4 linked regions of the Drosophila melanogaster genome follow. The protein of the gene in region 3 interacts with the protein of the main gene of each other region in a pairwise test. Each region holds a gene or a part of one and is shown on either strand. Other genes may lie near its edges. The genes, in order: CG2218, eEF1alpha1, zormin and Pof.

Region 1 (4,945 bases), on a different chromosome or scaffold from region 3:
CTCGTCCTTAATTCCGTGGGCCGCAGCAAACTCTAGCTTCTTCTTGGACAAGCCTGTCCTGCTTTTGGACAATCCTATCCTGCGAGAGCTCAGCGATAAAGGCGGTGCCCGCGGAGTCTCCTGTTCACTACATTTTGGTGTATTTGCAGCGGAATCGTCTCTCTGAAGTCTTATTAAGGGCGTTGACTGGCAACCACGCCTACTCAATCCGAGTCGGGGTCTCCGTCCGGATTGAGGCGTGTTATTTGCCTCACCAGGCATTAAAAATTAGAAAAAACGTACTAACCAAAAGGATTTTGAAATATCGCAGAACAGATGTGTAATCAGCTGTTCTCTTCGATATCGATAACACGCGAAAGGAGTAGTACTAAGAGAGTGACAGTAGAGGGCGCCACAAAGGAATGTAGGTTACCATGAAGAGAATGTAAATTATTATGTAAAAAATAACAAATTAGATTTTTTTGATATATAACGTAAAAAATAATTCTTAAGTGAGAAATGTAAACATATTAAAAACCACTATTTTGTTTTATTTATATTTATTGAGAGTAGTGATAAAAAAATACACATTGCATAAAATTATGCACAATTATTTCCGATTCAAAATTAACAATAACCGGTACAAATAAAGCAATTACAACTAAAACTAATTTAAAATTTTAAGCTTTTCGACAATTTCAACTTAACAGAAACACATTTTGTTTAAACGAGTTTAAAAAACGCAATGAATGCCAAACTGTGGAATATATCGCTACTACTCTCCATTGATTACACATTGGACTTAGGTTTTATTGTACTTTATTCTAGGTAGAATTGGTATGAATATATAAACTCGCGCTGAACGATCCTGTCTTTCGGGGACTGTATATAAAGTGTCTACAAAAACTAGGCGCGCACTCTCTATTGCTAATCGGTAATCCGTAATCTGCTCTATGACTAAACGTGACCTGATACTGATACATACTGCCGAATCGGGAGGGACTCGCGCGTGTACACATTTGGCTTAACTGCGATTTTGCGATTCTGCGACCAGACCGACTCTGATATGACTATAAACTAACGTAGACGAGGCCTAGGGGCTAAAGCGATTGACTGGCTTACAAACTGAACCGGATGGGGAGAACCAAACTCATTGCGGCAATCGACGGAAGGCGGTCGATTGGGAGATGTACGGGGAAGCTCTTAAGGATCCAGCTTGTGGTAGCGCTCGACGTCGGCGCAGCGGAAGAATACTTTGCACACGCACTGCTGATCCTGCGAGAGGAGCACCAGGCACTCCCGGCAGACCAGATGTCGGCAGGTGCGGATTTCGTAGCCGAACTGCGCACTCCGGCAGTTGATGCAGCTGGCGGGCGGAGCACTTGAGGATCCCGAGCCTGCGCTGGAGTTCGATGGCAATTGGCTAAAGCGCGTCACCTTCTGCAGCGCCTGTTGAATGGCCTGATCGATGGAGGTTGTGGCCGAGGTCACCGTGGCACAGGCGCTACCGTGTTGGCTGTGCCTTGCTCTTTTGGCCGCCGGCGGCGAGTGCGGAGATCCGCCGAAGGATGCCGCCGATGAGGATGTGGCCGTGGCAGTGGCCCTGCTCTTCCGCTGCTGCTGCTTGTAGGCGTTGCTCAGTGCCGAATAGGTTCCGGCAGCCGGACTAATCTGTCCCGGCTGACAGGTGCTGCTGGCGAACTGCGAGGCGTGACGACGACGCTGGCGAGAGGTGCCCAGCGAACGGGGCACCGCCTTGAAGTGCTCCGAATTCTCCATGAGGAACTTCTCGATGCGCGCTTTTAGGGCCAGGTGGAGAATCGCCTTGCGTTGCGCATTGAACTCCAGGCCTGTAAACGGATCCGAGGGCTGGCGACCCCACTTGGCCTCCTCCTCGGCGTGCTTGTCGATGGTGGACTGGTCCACCACTTTTCCAGATGGCAGCACGGTGGGGAAGATCTGAAGAGGCAATGGGAGAATTGATAAGGAGAGCTACAAAGTAAACAGTTCACAGAGCATCCTATTATCTTTATATTTAAGTGTTGTTGCGTTTCGGACATTATAATGCAATTCTCATTATGAAGAAAATGAATTCTTTACATGACTTCCGATATTTACCTTGTTTGGTTTTGATAAAGACATGATAATTGATTCATAAAGATTATAAAGAATTATGAATAATAAAACCGTGCAAAACGATTGATTTCATGAATTGACATGGGTATGTATTCAGTTGTACTACTACTTAAACATAAAAAGCTAGGATTTTCTGATATTTACCATTAGCTCCCAGGTGATGGAGTCGAGGAACTCTTCAGGAATAGAGAGGGTCGACTGGTCCCTGAGCTCTGGAACATTCCGCGGTGGTGATCTCTGCCCGGTGGGCGTTTGGGCCGCGTCCCTCTGGCCGTAGGGATCGCTTATCTCGCTCCAGATGGTCTTGACCAGCTCGCGATCGGCTTTGTCCAGCGAACGAGCGGGCAGTCCCCACATCTGAACTTTCCTCAGCACTGGAGGACACCTTTCCGTGGCCCGGATCACCACCTTGACGCTGTTTGTGCTGGCAAGGATCTTGTGGGCGGACTTGAAGAAGAACACCTTCTCGCTCTGCTCCGAGTTGGAGCTGCTCCGTGAGTTGTAGTCGCTCTGGTAGCAGAAGGTCACCGAGTCCACGCCACGCCCCAGATCGCGTACGAAGGCAACCCTTTCCCAGATACCATCGTGTCGTCCATGCAGCTCGAAGGCAGTGGATCGTAGGGCTCCGCAGGAGGGCCACAGCTTGATGACCTTCATGTCCACCGCCTTGGGGAAGTCGAATACGATCTCTATGGGCGGCTTGCAGACGGCGAAGCACATGAATCCACGCTCCAGCTGCTCGACGTCGTCGGCCACCAGATTGGCCGCAGTGTAGCCATCCTCGCAGACGGCATCGGTCTCTACGGAGGGCTTAAGCTTTGGGTTGAGGAAGTTGATCAGACTGCTCATCCTGGCTGCCCACTGTGCTATACTCTCGGCTGCTGTTATGTGGCTCTTCACGGCGTATATCTACTCTGTGCCCCACCTGCTCTTTATTCGCAATGAAAATGGCGTCACTTCTCGGGAATCTTTTGTTGTTGCGTCTGCCTGCGGAGGCTGCTAATCCTGCCTGGTAATCCCCTGCTAATCCCGCACTGGGTGCGCTCCTGCTCTCAGCCGATCCTGAACACTCACAGCCTGGCCTGGACTTCGGCTGGCATCTCACAACGCTGCTTCAATTGCAATTATCGCCCTGCCTCTTCGAATATTTATAAATCACTCGCTTGTGCAGTGTGACCATGCCCGGGCGGTAGTGGTGGTGCGACCAGTCAGATGGACTTCGCTCAGTACTCGCGTACGGTAACACCTATTCGCTTGGGCGGCAAAAATTGAATGAGTTAAAATATTTGTTTCAACGTATAATGCAAGCCTTTTCGAAATCTGTTTCGTTTCGAATGAAACAATGAAAAACACGATTGCTATGGTTGAGTTATATTCATTTACATTTTGAAAAAGTGTATACTTAATTTGATTTCTTGTTCAATAAGCAAAAACGATCTCAAGAACTTTGTTTATCATTTATACTTAAATTAGCAAAGCAGATATGATAAGGTTCATCAGTTTACACTATAGGCTCTGGCTTCTTTGAATCATAAAGTATCTAGTTAAAAAGGGAAAGTTATATCGAAATATGTAATATGACTTATTAATTGCCTATTTGTGGTGAATGGTCAAAAATGGTAATTTTTGCGATATGATTATTTAGAAATCTGCCCCACCGGAGGCAGATTGTGGCCACTTCTCATGCCAAAAATATAATCATATAAAAGTTCTACTATTCGAGATTAGGCTAATCTCTGCCATGAATGCGTTTTCCGGCCTGGTTAATGGGGTGGCCATTGGCTGAGAGATAACCGAAAGCTATAAATGGCCCCACACGTGGAAACTATGCTCCAGTTGCTCTGCGAACCATGAAAGCAATCGGAATCCTGCTGGCGATCGCCTTGACCTCCGGGTTCCTGGTGGTCTCCGCCGTAAACTTGCCGGGAGTGCCCGTGGACTTCGACCTGGACGACCACATCCTGTCCGCCATTGCAGACGACATAGCCGAGCGTCTGGCCAGGGAGTACATCACCTTCCTGAAGACCGGAGTGGAGACGGCGGAGTTCTTGAAGCTCACCAATCAGCTGGCCAAGTCGCACAGTGAGAAGGATATATTCACCAGGAACATGCCCGATCTAGAGCCCAGGGATAGCTTCTTTGCGTGCGTGGCCTGTCGCTCGGTGACGCGGGTTTTGATTCGCACCATTCGCGAGGAGGACGGCGAGCTCCACGGGGAGAATAGCTCCGTTCTGATGAAGGAATTCGCTATGGACGTGTGCCGCCGCTTGAATCTGCAAACGGAGGAGGTCTGCGAGGGATTGATCGATTCCAACCTGCCCTCCGTGGAGTACATCATGAGGAACTCCGAGAGTGATTCCCAGAGCTTCTGCTCCTTGTTCATGGAGTTTAACTTCTGTAACACCGGTACAAATCAAGATTACAATTGGACCTTGACTATAGACAATACTGGAGAGGCTTCGGCTGGCCCCAAGTCGGACACTCCCACCTTTCAGGACTCGGACATCAGGATCTGCCAGTTCTCCGACATTCACCATGATCCCTACTACACCCCCGGCAGCCTGGCCACTTGTGCGGAACCCATGTGCTGTCAGAGGAACAAGGAGACCACCGAGGGTACGTCGGATGCAGCTGGATACTGGGGCGACTACCGGGACTGCGATCTGCCTTGGCACGCCTTCGAGTCAGCCTTGGACAACGCGGTGGCCAACTCCAAGTGCGACTTCATTTACCAGACTGGCGACATAGTGGACCACATGGTGTGGGCCACTTCCGTGGAGAAGAACACCATGGTGCTGACCAAGGTCAGTGAGCGGCTAAACGCGGCCTT
Region 2 (6,671 bases), on a different chromosome or scaffold from region 3:
TGTTTCACCTTTTTGTGCAAATTACTCCAATGTAAATATAGTTATATTTAAATCCATATATGTATTTTACGATCTTAGTTTATTTTCTAGTACATTTTTTAATTTGTTTTTATACAGATTTTACGAAGGAAATAATATATCCCATAACTTTAAACAGAAATTATAAAAAAACACTTGTTCCAACTTCGTTCGTTATTATTTAAATAAATAAATCAATGCATTTTTCTCTATTTGCGATGAGAAATAAAAGCCCCCCCCCCCCCCTCAAATACAATAAAAAATATTCATTATTCTTCAGATGCAATTGCTTGCTTTATTTAAACGATTGAGGTATTTGTTGTCAGATTCAATTGTTGTACTCTTCGACTAGCTCTTGTTTGTACTTTGTGGCATCGACGATAAGTGAACTTGGAGTTAGGGACGATCGATCATGGCGCTGAAAATCGGGAGGCAACAAGCAAAGAGAGTGCTCTTTTACGGGCTGGGTGGTAAAAACAAAAGAAATACAAAAATAGGGTTTTTATTTTTTTTGTAAATATAGTTATCGCTTCTATTCTGGTTCTTTTCTTGTGTACAAAGTAGTGTGTGCAAAAGTAGGGTAAGATAAATGATACATATCAAAGTATAAAGGTTAATTTAAACGATATCATAAATGCTACAGAGGATTCCTATATATGATATGATAAAACGAAGTCAACTCCGTGCATCATACCATATTTAGTAAACTAAAGATCGACGGGGAAGTGGATGAGGAGTGGATGCATAAATGCAAGTGTTTTCCCAGTGTGCACTCTTATCCTTGGGATCCACCGTTTCCCAATTTAGGCGGCCTCGTCTGCATTTAGCATTCGTATCCGTCGAAACTCCTTTCGATGGAAGAAATTAAACTTATGCTTCTGCTGAAACATCATCTTATCGGTCATCTTGCGCAGGACAGGTGTTGGTGTTATACTACTATTGTGTTCGCTGCTGCTGTTGCTGGTATTATTGAGTGGTGTTGTTGGCTGCATTATGATGTTGGTTATATGCTTGTTGTTGCTGCTACTACTGCGTGTTGTTGTTGTTGTTGAGTGGAAGCAAACCAGCTACTTCTTGCCCTTGGTGGCCTTCTCGGCGGCCTTGGTGACCTTGCCACCGGAGGCATCCTTGAAGTTGACAGCCTTAATGACACCGACAGCCACGGTCTGCCTCATGTCACGCACAGCGAAGCGACCCAGAGGGGGGAACTCCTGGAAGGCCTCCACGCACAGGGGCTTAGAGGGCACCAGGTTGACGATGGCAGCATCGCCAGACTTGATGAACTTGGGGTTCTCCTCGGTGGTCTTGCCGGAACGACGGTCGACCTTCTCCTTGATCTCAGCGAACTTGCAAGCAATGTGAGCGGTGTGGCAATCCAACACGGGGGTGTAGCCGTTGGCAATCTGACCGGGGTGGTTCAGCACGATGACCTGGGCGGTGAAGTCGGCGGCTCCCTTGGGGGGGTTAGCCTTGGAGTCACCGGCAACGTAGCCACGACGCAGCTCCTTCACGGACACGTTCTTGACGTTGAAGCCAACGTTGTCTCCGGGAACGGCCTCCTGCAGGGCCTCGTGGTGCATCTCCACGGACTTGACCTCAGTGGTGATGTTAGCAGGGGCGAAGACCACAACGGTACCGGGCTTCAGCACACCAGTCTCCACACGACCCACGGGTACTGTTCCAATACCGCCAATTTTGTACACATCCTGCAGGGGCAGACGCAGGGCCTTGTCGGTGGGACGGGCTGGGGGAAGGATGGCATCGAGGGCATCGATCAGGGTCTTGCCGTCAGCGTTACCCTCCTTGCGCTCCACCTTCCATCCCTTGAACCAGGGCATGTTGGTAGAGGGTTCCAACATGTTGTCGCCGTGCCATCCGGAAATGGGCACGAAGGCAACGGCGGCTGGGTTGTAGCCGATCTTCTTGATGTAAGAGGACACTTCCTTCTTGATTTCCTCATAACGGGCCTCGCTGTATGGTGGCTCGGAGGAGTCCATCTTGTTCACACCAACGATCAGCTGCTTCACACCCAGGGTGAAGGCGAGCAGGGCGTGCTCGCGGGTCTGGCCGTTCTTCGAGATACCTGCCTCGAATTCTCCGGTTCCGGCGGCGACAATCAGCACGGCGCAATCGGCCTGCGAGGTACCAGTGATCATGTTCTTGATGAAATCCCTGTGTCCGGGGGCATCAATGATGGTCACGTAGTACTTGGCAGTTTCGAACTTCCACAGGGCGATATCGATGGTGATACCACGCTCGCGCTCAGCCTTCAACTTATCCAAAACCCAGGCGTACTTGAAGGATCCCTTTCCCATCTCCTGGGCCTCCTTCTCGAACTTCTCGATGGTACGCTTGTCGATACCACCGCACTTGTAGATCAAGTGTCCGGTGGTGGTCGACTTACCGGAATCGACGTGTCCGATCACGACAATGTTAATGTGAATCTTTTCCTTGCCCATGTTGGATGATTACACTATGGCTGTTGTGTGTATTCGAGTGTTGGATTGACGGAACGTTGGAACATTGGAAGGTTGCAGGGTTCGGCGGGTTGGCGAGCAAGAGAGGTTGGAATAAACAAAGGGTAAAACAATTCGTTAGCATTCGGTGGGATTACAACTACAATTATTAGTGGGTATAACACTTTCTCATTTCCCTAGCGTACGTTCGACTTTTGTTTGCATGCGCGAGCACAACCTAACCTCAAACTCTTGCAGCCGTACAAAACGTGTTTTTTGAGGTTAGGTCCAGTGCCCGCATGTAAGGGTGTGGGTAAAACGAGTGGGGCGCAACTACAGAAAAGAGCGTGCAAATAAAATTCCATATGGAAACTCGATTTTGTTTCAGTGATTTTGGTATTTTTGCTTTCGTCAACTGTCTTCAGTAGCAGAACTGAAAAATCATCATCATGTTAAATCGAAGAGTCCAAAGGAAAATTCCAGCAAATTTAATTCGCAAATACACATGTGCTTATCTGCCTATGCGTGTGTATATCTATGCCTGTGTATTTGTGTGACGCTGTTGCCGGCCGGAGGAAAAGTAAGAGAGGAATAGAGAGAGAGAGAGACCAAAATGGCGGATGTGCATTAGTGTGCGTGTGTGACTTGTACAAATGCAAGCGATCTCGCCGCGGTGGCACAATTGGTAATTGGAAAGAAATGAAAAAGAGAGGGGCACACAACGAATTATTCAAGAACGTAGTGCAGCGGCAGCCATTTTACCAAAACCAATTATGGAGTCGGTTGGAAATGGCGAAATAGCTGATGCGAGTGCCATTTCACCAGATATGCTAATGGGCTGGAAACCCAAAAAAGCACATTTTTTCGCTTGTTGCCAGGCGAATTTTTTTCGCCCACTTGACTCACGCCACTGGGTCGCCATTTTAGAATTCCATGCCGCAAAAAGAAAGAATAAGGAATATCTATAGGTCATGACAAAGGCAAGAGAGAAAGCACGTTTTTTTTTCTCGGTTAATGAGCACATCTGGTGGATGACCTCTGTGTCCGGCGTGGGCGTGGCAAAGTAATTACACACTAAGTGCACCATATTGCAGGGCGAAAATGCGGCCGGAAAAGCCGGAAAATTATTTTGAGAATGCTGGGAACTTTAACTGGGAACGCCAGTTAAAATTTTTGCCTTTGCAGACTTGCCACGTGTTTGCTTCTATGGCCACCTTTCACTTTGGAAAACCGCAGTTAGAGGTTATCTCCGGGTTTATTACACACACACAGGAAAAACACTGGAAATATGCACAAATTCGGCGTCTCAGCTGCATATTTGTTTATAAATTGTTTTCTGGCTGCAGTCCCGTTGCAGAAATTACTTAATTATAGCCTCGCAGGTAAAACTTACTCTCGAATAAGCTGAATGAGAAATCACGAAGTCTAAGCGGCGACGGATTCGAACAAAGTGAACGAGCGTTCGGCAGAGCTCAGCACAGGAAGCCTCGTTTGACACATGGTGTGACCGAAGCTACGCAACTGTCAAAAGAGCAGAAACCGTGTTCTCACTGCGGTGTTTCCACTACGCGCGAATGAAGCACTTCATTTTATTGAAATTTAAGTGATTGAAAGTGGCAAAATACAATAACCTAACGATTGAGGGATTTAAAAAACCTTGTTTGCTCGACATTGTTTTTATATGAAAAACTAAATAATCAGTGATTCCAAAAATATTTTCTACAAAACGATGTCTATAATTTCTATACGTAATATTGGAACACATATCTCTTAATATTTAAAAACTATAACAATTGCATTAGTAGTCCGCATTTTGAACTTTTAGACTAGAACCTGAACTTTAATTTGTATGTGAACCCTAACGTAATAGAACTTTAAATAACAATAGAAGCTTGAGATCGTTTAAATTTATGTAATACGTTTCATTTATTTATACATTTTTTGGCGTCCGTTGCTACAACTAAAATATGCTACAAATAAAACTATAAGTAATTTGGTATTGTATCAATTTATACAATATTGTAAAAATTTATAACTTAAGATCTCACGTTTTAATACTTTTTCTTCTGGAATTCATCAGAATGCTAATATTTATTTGAATTTGTAACTTACTGCTTAATATTTTTTGTTAGACTATTTTTTCACTCAGTTTTCACTTGTACTCAATAAATTTATTCATTGTGCATAGAACAAAAGTTGTTAGCCTGCCCCTTATATAGGACGCAATTAAAAGTTCCTAAGTGTTTTCCTAATTTTGTGAAATTAATTAATTAGTTATTAATAATATGATTATTGTTATGCTTGCGAAATCAGTTAACAATAAATGCAATTACCATCTTTTATGAAATGATAATTTGACAAAATTTTATTATAAATCGGTATCAATTAAATTAATTTAAATCTAGATCTCAACTTTTCTGTGTGACTGGAAAGAATTATAGCTAAAGCATTTAAAACCCACACATATAGACATTAGTCATTAATAAATGATGAGCCATCTTTATTTATTGTTTACATATGCAGGAAAGCTCACAACTGAGAGCTTTTTCCAACTTTAGACATTTTCGGCCTAGCCCCACCTGGCCACACTACGACGAAACAGAATAAGAAGCGACGTGGCGAAAGAGGCAAAAAGCGAATTCAATCGTTGAAAAATACCGAACCGGTCCGGTACTCAGTTTTTGTTGTAGAAGTAGGCGTTCGACGGCCTAGTTGAACTTGAATTATTCACCGATATCGCTTCAAGTGAACCCAAATAATGATGTGGCGCCTTGCTGGAGTGCTCCTACTAGGCTTCATCGCCATCTCGTCCGGAGCGGAGCAGGATGTCCTGGAACTGGGGGACGACGACTTTGCCACCACCCTAAAACAACACGAGACGACGCTGGTCATGTTCTACGCCCCCTGGTGAGTTAGTGAGTGGGCGTGGCCGGGCGCCATCCTACAACAAATGCATTGCGTGTGCGATTCGCGTATAATCCGCTTGTTGCGTCCGCAACTTAATTCGATTCCCAATGCCCAGTGCCGACCGATGCCCGATTTTCCGGCCATCGCAAGCGCAAAGTACACGTCAGCGTTTGCCTTGCTTTTGCCGGCAAATAAAGAAGGAACGAGTGACGGAACGAAACGAGACGCAAAGAGAGGGGCAATGATGATATGCCAGTATTGGTGCCGTCGGCCATTTTAGAGCGCGGGGTGCCAAAGTGCCTAGTTGGTACAATTTCCGTGCAATTCCTGCTCCACTTGTCCACTGGCTAATGATAGTGAGCAGGCATAGGGGCCCCAGTGTACATAGCGCATCTTTTATTATAGTTTCTTATGCCTATGCATTATACCCATAATCCCAGGAATGTGTAATTCTAAGGGTTAACTTAGATTTAGCTTGAAACTGGTTATCATAGTCTGAAACACTCACAGTTCTCATACAAATGTAATTTCCCAACAGTTTACACCAACCATATTAAAACTTCAATTTTAATTGCCTGCCTACTCACAAAAGTTATGCTGATTGTGCTATAAATTTCTCATGTCAGTAGACACATTTTTAACTTCCATCGTAATCCACACTGAACACAATAACCTTTTAATACATTTTTGTTTAGTACATAACACATATTTACTGTGCCTATTTACTCTCTTTTGAGCCATTTGTTTGCCCATTATCAGGGGTAAACTATAAGCTCACACTTGGACAATGAACTAGGTAAATTATTAGCGTTTTTTTTGCCGGCCGGCTTTCGAAATCCCCAAAGAGCTGTTGAACTACTTGGCATGGAGACTTGATTCCCTCATGACGAACCTTATCAGTATTCAAGCATAAATACACAGGGATGAAGTTGAAAAAGTTGTACACTGCAATAAAACTGCTCTTTTCATTATAACATAGTTAACTTAAGGCATCACTTATCTTTATCAAAAATGAATTATTATCTGCACTGCTAAGAGTGCAGACTATACTCTGCTGTTTCAAATAAGTACCAAGTCGTTTTTCTCTCTGTATGCCTAATGGGCACTTGTACTTGTGTGATAAGACAGTTGATAATTCCAGCACCCTTACTTTAATTACAAGCTAGTTTTTTGGGAACTTGTCTTCCCGTTGCCTTGATAACAAATGATGAATTAGATAGTATTGTTACCAACATAATGTTTAAGTGACGTGTCCTAACAGAGTGTTTTTTCCTGTTTAAGGTGCGGCCA
Region 3 (4,782 bases):
TCTCTGCTTTAAATATAGTAGTAGAAATATTTATTTAGTTAGTTCAAATTAAGTCTAAGGCTTGCAAAAATTAGAGAATTCCCAAATGGTTAGAAAATATATTTAAAGTAAGAATTTAAATTCACTTACGGCCAGTCGAAATTTTTGCCATTAATCATATGTTTAATATTTATTTATAACTATTTCTCCCACACAGTCACAGTCACAAAACATAGTGCAATTAATATCGAACATGTTTTACCCCAAAAATAAAGCTAATCATTTATAATTTTTTTCAATACCTCCTAACTTTTCAGGTATTTAGTTTTAAATTTTATGCTTAAGCAAGTAAGTAACTCGTAACTGCAAAATTTGAATGTAATCTCGAAAATCCATGAAAACATTGCATAACTTTGGGCTGCATCCGTGAAAAGTCATTGCCATCATCTGCACTTAACCCTTGAGTGCTCTTTTGGACTTTTCCACCCTAAATAATTTTTTTCAATTTCCCTCTGTGGGTGGCCCTTTCCCCCAAACATTTAACAAGTGGTCCTCAAGTGATTTCAATTATCTGAAATGTGAACTGGCAGTGGGTGCAGCGGGGAAATGGGGTTAAGAGGGGTTGGCTGCTTTTGTGAGCTTCGTCAAGTGGCTCATTAATCTCAATTAAAAAACATATAAATAAATCGCTCTGAGTGTGGTGAGTGAGTGAAAAGAGTTTATACTTAACGAGCTGATCATCCAGAAAGGCGAACCAAATATCTATGAGATTCTTTTCATGCCATTCGACCAGATTTTCTGACGTGCCGGCGCTGAAAGCATAATTCGATAAGTTCGAATCGTTGATAGCGAAAAATAATAACACACATCTGCAGCGCATTGATTGCCGCAACTGCTGTTGCACGCAAGAAGCGTCGGATGTTGCACGTTGAATATTGCACGAAATCCGGAGCCAAAGCCAAAGCTGCAAGACACGCATTTTGGGTGAAAAATACTTCATAAATTGGGGTATAGAGCATCATGGGTGGTGAGGGGATTTAAATGCGGGCGGTCAGTCAGTTTGCCTTGCATTAAGACACGATATCGTCTGGTTTCCTCCGCTGCTCTGGTGTTGTTATTTTGATCTTCCACTCTTCACCATGTTATTAAAGTACAAAAGCTGCACTTGAATATGTTGTGGTTTAAGGTACCTCGTCTTATATGGGGTGTATAAGACCAACGAGGAAAAGGTCTAGCCAAGGGGAAAAATCATCCACACATAAGATGTTAAGTTAGATGAATATTCAAAAGTAAATGCGAATAAATAAAGTGAGGGCATAAGAGGGTAGCAACAGTTCGCTTAAAGTTACCCTTTATCATCAGAATTACAGGGTACAAGCTCGCTTCATATCGCTTTACCTTCTCTTCGTATTGTAATTGCTGAAAAGCCGGGCGCAGGGCATTAAAAATTGAAATCATGAATTAACGACGCCGCGAATGCCAAGAGCACTTGTTTATTTATGTCGTCTCCCCTGAAGCCCCGCATCTTGCCTCTTTCTCTAGCGTCTAGCGTCTCCAGCCCTCTCTTTCACACTCTCTCATTTTCAAAATACAAGCCGGCTTTTCAAAACTGAGCTTAGCCAGTGTCAAGAGATCAAAACAAGAGAACCGCTACCTGCATGAATGAATTGAGCGAATCGGTTAAGTTTCATGGGCTGCACGCTCTTTATCTCTTTCTGATCGGCTGTCTCCCGTAGAATCTGCTCAGTCTTCGGTCTCCGGTCTTCAGTCTTCCGATCATTTAGTCAGTCTTGTTCGAAGTTCGCGGCGTTCGGTTGTTCGGCTGTTGGGAAAGCGGCGCGCGCGTTTTGATTTTCCACATCTCCACCGCTCGAATATAATGTGCGAATAAAAACATATCTATGTAAATTAAGTTAGGCAGAAAACGAGGAAGAAAACAATAAATTTGGCACTTCAAAAAAAAAGCGAAATGAAACGTAAATTAATCAGCCATAATTTACCTAGAACATTTTTGACATTCAAAAATGCTTGGCGCTAGTTTTTTTTGCGTTCACTCGTCTAAAGATGAAATCAACAATCTGTGCTAAATTTATTGTTGTTGTCGAATATTCAGTTTTGTGACGACCCTCAGAAAGCACAAACAAAATGTTTAACAAATAGAAAACGACACAGAATGCGCGAAAAAAATATTTTTCAAAAATATTCGGTGACCTGATGCATTGAAAGCTTATTTGTTTGAGTCATGTGCATATTTCAATATACTACAACAGTCCACGCCCCAGAAAATTTCAATCAACAATTTTCCATTTTTTTTTCTTTTAAATTTTTTGGACAACAACATATGGAGGCAAAGCATTTCCTCGATTGCGCTACTGTAAACTTTTATAAAGGGAACTTGTTCTTCCCAATTTTTGGTTTGCTGCTTATTTTTAGACAGCGCAAAGTACAATTAAAATAGTTTACATTACGCCAGCAACGGCGGCGACTATTAAAAATTGAGAGAAACACCAAAAATTACCTAATGGAGGCAGCTGGCTGCACACGAGCATACGCGGCGTATGCGTAATGTATTCAAAAATATCGAAAAATCCATGAAAAATGACTGACTGGCGACGACTTCTGCCAATGCAATTGGCACATGTTACAGATTTGACGAACATCCGCGCGCTTTATCTATTAGCTATAGTAGCCTGTATCTGTAGCATCGCAGTATCTGAGTATCTGGGCTAGAACAACAGTTTAGCTTCGTGGCAGAAATCGCCGCAAAAAATTACTCAATAGTTTGTTGTTTTAAAAATAAACGCGAATCGAGCATTGTCTTTGAGTTTTGGCGGGGCGGGGGGCTACCGAGGTTCTACAACGAGACTAGCACACGCATCAAAGGCAATTTTCTCAGGCTCAATATGCAAAAAGTACACACGATTCTCTCGGCTATATAGCCGTATATATAGACACTACGGAATAATAAACAGACACTAGAGCGACAGGGAGAGCGCGAGTATGAAGTCATAGTCATCGCGGCGGGCAAAAAGAATTCTCCGTTTCGAAAATCTACCGATTCGCGGAGGTTCTCAGACGATCGCCGGCGTTGATAGCGCTCGCAACGAAACGAAGGAACCGCCGAATCGAATCCCCTGGCTATAACTAATCCCAATAAATTAAATCCGAACGCGAGTGACTCAATCTAATAGTTCCACTTTTTCGAGCAGAGTTCAAAATGCAAAACACGAGACACAAGCAGGGGAAGTAAGCCAAAATACGAGAAAAACTAAACGACAGAGATTATAAAACGCCCACGCAAAACACACCAAACTACAAGCACTCACTCAATCCTCGAAAGTTAGTCAAAAAAAAAGAAAACAGAGAGAAGTAGAGACGAGCAGATAGAAAGAAAAGCAACCATGGAACGCCGCCAAGCCCTAGACTCATCGATGTCTTCGCTCTACTCGGTCGCCTCCTCCTCGAATCCCAATCCCCGCCAGCCGCACACCGGCCACCAACTTCAGACGCAGCAATCCCAGCAATCTCAGCAGTCCCAGCTAGACGCCTTCAATTATTCAGCAACAATGTCATCATCGTCGCCGACTCCAAGTCAGGCCATGTCCACAGCCATGTCCACGGGCACGGGCACCGGCACCGGCACCACCCACACCACACCACCATCCTCCTCCTCCCTGAGAGCCACCACCATTGGCACCGTTGTCGTCCGATGCGGACCCATCCAGCTGGTGATAGCGCTCCTACAAGTGAGTTGTACTCTTGTACCCCGCAAACAATAAAAATAGTAAACTAAAAAACGAAACGAATCCAAACAAAAAACACACAGCAAAAAGGCCAAGAAATGGGAAACAAACATGAAGAAACATTTATCTAGATACGGGAGAAGTGTTCGGAGAAAGCTCTTGAAGTGCGCGGAAATTTATGCGGAAGGCGATCTGGGAGGACTTCAAAAGAGATTTGGGACGGGGCATTGGGAGATCTTGAATAAATCATAAATCTAGAAGTGCAGTCAGGTTTCGAAAACACGGGGAAACATCTAGGATAAGCTGTGGTCATTGAAACATCTTATGAAAAAAGTTGCATTCGACTCAGTTTTATGTGAAGCTATAAAAATCCATAACAACCAATTAAGCCAGTCTAAATATATTAACCTTTTTTTTCAATATAAATGAGCTTATCATTTGAATGACGACATAATCTTTGTTCATTATTAATGACAGTGCAATTATATATTTACATTTTTTTCATTTTGCGTAGTGGGGCAAAAACAGTCTGAGAGATGTAAAGCAAAGAAAATAGTTCAATAGATACATTATCTCAGATTGTTATCAAATCATTTTTCAATCAATTTATCACTATAAAACAACGTTCGACTATTATTAAATGGCCCAGCCTCCAACCAAGCAAATGTTCACTACCAATCGGTCGACATTAATTGATAAATTTCTATAATTATCCCATAGCTAGCCCCTTCGGATCTGAGGCAAAACTATGTGACTTTAGCACTGAAAAATTCATGAACTTCTAATGCCCAAAACTGGCTTACAATTTTCGATTGTTTAAACCGGCTTCCAGCGATTTCCGCGCCAATTAGCACTCGAACAACGAAAGCAAAAGTTGTTGATAGCGGTTATAAATATTTGAAAAACGGCAGCAGAAAAACAAACGCCACAAAAGGTTCAAGGTTGTCTGACATCAGAGCAAAGACACAAAAGCCAACTAAACGTGACAAAAAGAAATGTATCTGCCAGATACTTTCGACAATTAGGCGCAGCTGCTACCTGTCTGGGTCCATTTCGAGCT
Region 4 (4,379 bases), on a different chromosome or scaffold from region 3:
CCAGAGTCCTCTTCATCTTCGCCGGATTCCGCATCAGAATCCTCCCCAGAACTTTCATCTTCCTTGCCAACTTCCGCGTCGCTTTCCTCCTTAACTTCCTTCTCGTCACCGTTTTCCTCTTTCACTTCCACCTTTGGCTTCTTCTCATCCGGCTCCTCGTCTTTCGGGTTCTTTGATACATACTCGTCCTTGCCCAAAGCCCAGTCCACAAATACCTTTCTCCCGAGCAGCTCTTTGCCGTTGGAGTTCAGGATCGCTTTGGTGGCCTGGTTAATGGTCTCGTACTGGACAAAGGCGCAGCCCACCAGCTTCCCGTCACCTCGTTTCAGGATGTGTACATCCTCCAGCGTGCCCCACTGCCCGAAATGCTCGCGAAGCGAGTCCTCCGTGGACTTGTAACTGATGTTGCGCACGATGAGACGCGCTCGCTTTTTCTGGCGGCGCTCCTTCTCTTCCTTCAGCCTCTGTGTGTTAAAGGGGTTGCGGCGCTTCCGGACCCCGGTTTCTGGCTGAGATTGGGATTCGGCAGCGTCGTCTTTTAAAGATTTCATTTTTTTAAGTTCCATTTGCACGTGGAACTCTTGATGAGAACTAACGAACAAAACAGCTGATCGGCAAAATACCCAAAATGAAGGTCCATCCCTGGTATAACCGATAGAAAATGGGCGGGAATTTACAAACATTTCAAAAAATGTTTTTAACATTTTATTTGTAACAATTATCAACAATTAAAAAGTCTACGTTTCTTGTTTGGTCGCGAACAGTTGGTGGAACTCCGAGGGGGTCTTGAAGTAATCAACCAGAAGCATTGAGGAGCGGTTGCCCAGTTTGTACATAATGTGGCTCCAGGGATTTAAAAAATTCTTGTATTCAGCTATTTGACCGCGTTCAAAATAGTGTTTTACAGTTCCAATGGGTAGTTGGGACCCATAGACAGCCACGTATCTAAAAATAAAGTAAGTTACTACTTATAAATGTCATGTACTACCGTACAAAGTTACTTTTCCGAGCTCTTGTATATTCTCAGTGGATATTTGGCGACAAAAGCTCGAATCGCCAGGTTTATAAGCAGAAATCCACCCACAAAGTAGTACAGATCTGATTCCTGGGACACCAGAATGGCTATGTCCATTTTCTGGACCATATCCAGGTAGTTTATGGTTGTGGCATAGTGATAGGCGGCCACCGCAGCAAGTACAGTGGTCGTGGCAGTGGATATATTCTTCGTCCAGGTCACGTAGCTCTCGATAGGGGCCCGGTAAATCAGTTTATAGTTATCTGGTAGCCTGTCGCCAAAGAGGAGCTTCCGTTCCACTTCGCCGGAGGATGCATTCCGCCATTTGCGGAGCACGCTGCTGGTGCTAAATGAGAAGGTGCAGAGTGATTCAATCGGATAGGTCAATGGATAGGTCTTACTGTAAGAGCTGGAAATTCGGTTTAGCTAGTATTGGCCGTAAATAAACCAATTTAACACTTCGTAAGAGGGCCGCACACATTTTGTGTTTTATTATGCTGTCTTTGAAAACAATCTGGCAACGTGATCAGCTGTGCTGCAATCAGCGGCACTACCCGATGGTTGTCAAAGAAGAAGGTCTGGCAACGTATGTGCTTGAGGAATGCACCGAAGAATAATCAGCTGTGCCTCGAAGTTGCCGGATCACCAGGTCGCAGCAGCTATGAGTTTTGCGTCAGACTCGAATAATGATTAGAAGCCGACTCCTTCCGGAAACATTCATTAGGTAAACAACACAGCTATAGAACAGACTTTTCCAGTTTCCACAACTTTAGCTAGGAACACGTTCCACATTTTTCCACATTTTTGATACCTTAACAAAATGGATTCAAAACGCGCGGCCCTTGAATCCGGCGACGGTCCGGACGCCAAGCGCCTTGATACCACCGATGATCAAGACAAAGAAGCGTCGGGGGGCGACGGCAGTCAGGTTATGCTGGCCAAACACGTAGCACCCTACACGGGCCACGGATGTACTCCACCGATGGAGTCCTATTTGTTCGAACCGACTCCCGCCGGGAGTCAACTTCTGCCGTGGAAAACTAGCGTTGATTTGGACAACGACGCCGAGCTGGAGAAGCCCACCAGTGACAAGAAACGTAAGTTGATGGTACGCTCACATCCTAGTACTCTTATACAACAATTTCATTCAGCCGACACTGCCAAGTTGTCCCGTCGGGAGCTGGCCAAAATGCGCCGTGAACACACATTAAGGGCCCTCGCCCTGGAACGCGAGTTGACCAACAAACCGGGGCAGACACCCGCTTCCGAAGTGTTGCTCGTCCGCTTTCCTGATCCCGAGATTACTGCTCCCATGCTGGCAGGACTGTCCAAGGATATTCGGGATGTGGTCTTGCCCATTAGCGTGGCTCCACGATACTGTCTAGTGCATCTAAAGGCCGGTGCCGATGTGGAGGCCACCATCTGCGACATAAACAGGGTGCGCTTCGGTACGGGGCACCTTCGGGCGGAGCTTAAGCCGTTCTCCGATGAGGAGCAGGCCGAGTTCATTGATCCCTGTTCTCTGTATGTGGGCAACATACCGTTCAACATGACCACATCGGCCATAAAGGCCTATTTCGCCAACGCCATGCGCGTGGACATCGGAGTGCTGAAGCGCGAGAAGCGCGCTCGCTACGCCTTTGTGCGTTACGCCTCACCTGACCAGACCATGGAAGCGTTCAAGGAGCTGGTCGACTCACCGCTGAACAGCCGCACTCTCACAGTCCGCTATCGGCGACTCCGGAAGCGCGCCGGGATGCCAATGGTGCAGTGCGCCACCTCCTTTCAGGCGCTGCAATCCCCAAATGGAGACGACGACAACACTGACTGCAAGGTCATATCTCCACCGCCGTTAGAGTCTATCATAATTAGCGACAGCGATAACTGCTCAGATTCCAGTGGCAACGGCAAGGAAGACGGCAAGCGCAAGAAGAAGATAAATGAACAGGAAAGAGAGATTGAAAAGCTCAAGCGTCAAATGGCCGAGTACGGCGCTATTATAAAAAGTTTGCAATTTAGACAGAACAGCTTAGAAGGTCTGTGTTGATCTGTTTTGAATATATACTGAGCTTACAAAAACTACTTTTCCATTCGCAGATACATTTATACCTGACCTTACACCCAAAGTAGAGCCGAGCGTGAATCCCACAGGTTGTTTACTAGGATCCAATGCGGTGCACCTAATGCGTGACATTAAGAAAGAGTGCGACTATTTGGGCATCCCTGATCCCGTACCGGCTACCAAGCCGACAACACAAGCTCAAGATGACAGCCAGAAGAAAGCCAAAAGTATACTAATACCCAAATTGAGTTCTTTGACTTACTCTCCTCCTCTTCTCTTGCTTAGGATCGTGTTTTGGCCGCTTGTTTACGGGTCCTTTCAGACGAGGCACTAGTGCGATGAAGACTGCTGACGAGTACGAGAAGGATGACAGACTTGAGGAGCTCTATGCTCAACTGGAACGCGATCCTGATCCTTAATCTGTCATGCTACAGTGTACCAAATTACTCGTCGTAGACGAATTAGAATAATAGTTTAGTTTATTTTTTATTGGACTTCTGTTTCTTTATTTGTTGTATCTTCGTTTTCGTTTTTGTTCAGTTTCTCTTATTTCAGCGTACATTTATGGTATATAATATTAATAATAATACATAATAATACGTAAGTTAAATAATATTTCGGTTTTAAATATTAAACCCGAAAAAATATCGTTTAATGGACTGTCTTAAATATCACTTATATAATAATCATATGTACTCGATGATGATTTTCATATTAGTTTATATATGGTCAAGTCACGTATCGTTTTGTAAACTTAAAACACTTGAGTTTGCGAAATTGTAGCACAGCTGGAGGAGCATGCGGAGCTCCTTTCCCATGTGCCGACATTAACAATTATATCTAAACTAAATTACGTTCAATGCTCAGTATTTTATTTTTGTTTGGTTCTCTCCAATTCCTTGCATATGGCTCGTTAAATTTAATATCGCAATTTGTCATTACCAAAACAGCAAAACTACGTAGAGAACTTCTGGTTTGATATGACTTTTGATCGTTTTGTGATTTGAATGCGGAATGTTATAAACTATTTCATTATATTTAAGGCTGATTTTATTTACACAACAACAAAAGTATTTGATAAGGCACCTGTGTCACATGCTGATCGCTCAATTTACAATTGATATTCTGTTCGATTTCAATTTGTATGTTTTCATTATTCTTTTTTGGATTTCCTCTCATCGTATTCGATATGATGTGCGTAACATTTGAATTTCAAGCACTTCGGTGTCCAACGTGCAGTAAAATTTTGGAAACTTTACTCGAGTGGCTAGCGTTGATCCTAAGGTTCACAAATGCACTGCC

The links.
Region 1: the proteins of zormin (region 3) and CG2218 interact in a two-hybrid assay, tested with the Drosophila melanogaster proteins (one large-scale study listed by BioGRID).
Region 2: the proteins of zormin (region 3) and eEF1alpha1 interact in a two-hybrid assay, tested with the Drosophila melanogaster proteins (one large-scale study listed by BioGRID).
Region 4: the proteins of zormin (region 3) and Pof interact in a two-hybrid assay, tested with the Drosophila melanogaster proteins (one large-scale study listed by BioGRID).

The regions. Positions count from the first base shown.
Region 1 is NT_033777.3:30,424,877-30,429,821, forward strand, and holds CG2218 (uncharacterized protein), read right to left. Parts: upstream 3,401-4,945; 5' UTR 2,965-3,400; coding exon 2,260-2,964; intron 1,939-2,259; coding exon 1,183-1,938; 3' UTR 551-1,182; downstream 1-550. Other genes in the region: CG15536 (uncharacterized protein), read right to left, coding at 1-261; CG15533 (uncharacterized protein), read left to right, coding at 3,966-4,945.
Region 2 is NT_033778.4:11,889,381-11,896,051, reverse strand, and holds eEF1alpha1 (eukaryotic translation elongation factor 1 alpha 1), read right to left. Parts: upstream 4,918-6,671; 5' UTR 4,808-4,917; intron 4,657-4,807; exon of another isoform or gene 4,587-4,656; intron 3,931-4,586; exon of another isoform or gene 3,868-3,930; intron 2,930-3,867; exon of another isoform or gene 2,857-2,929; intron 2,511-2,856; exon of another isoform or gene 2,498-2,510; 5' UTR 2,478-2,497; coding exon 1,086-2,477; 3' UTR 532-1,085; downstream 1-531. Other genes in the region: ERp60 (endoplasmic reticulum p60), read left to right, coding at 5,233-5,381, 6,663-6,671. UniProt on the Drosophila melanogaster protein: This protein promotes the GTP-dependent binding of aminoacyl-tRNA to the A-site of ribosomes during protein biosynthesis.
Region 3 is NT_037436.4:2,148,688-2,153,469, reverse strand, and holds the start of zormin (zormin), read left to right. Parts: upstream 1-1,769; 5' UTR 1,770-1,860; intron 1,861-3,188; 5' UTR 3,189-3,380; coding exon 3,381-3,725; intron 3,726-4,782.
Region 4 is NT_033778.4:24,667,736-24,672,114, forward strand, and holds Pof (painting of fourth), read left to right. Parts: upstream 1-1,661; 5' UTR 1,662-1,739; exon of another isoform or gene 1,740-1,788; 5' UTR 1,789-1,835; coding exon 1,836-2,112; intron 2,113-2,166; coding exon 2,167-3,051; intron 3,052-3,112; coding exon 3,113-3,304; intron 3,305-3,362; coding exon 3,363-3,496; 3' UTR 3,497-3,842; downstream 3,843-4,379. Other genes in the region: CG4806 (uncharacterized protein), read right to left, coding at 1-566; CG33228 (uncharacterized protein), read right to left, coding at 738-945, 1,002-1,361, 1,417-1,496. UniProt on the Drosophila melanogaster protein: Probable RNA-binding protein that specifically binds to the fourth chromosome and may bind an RNA that spreads the fourth chromosome.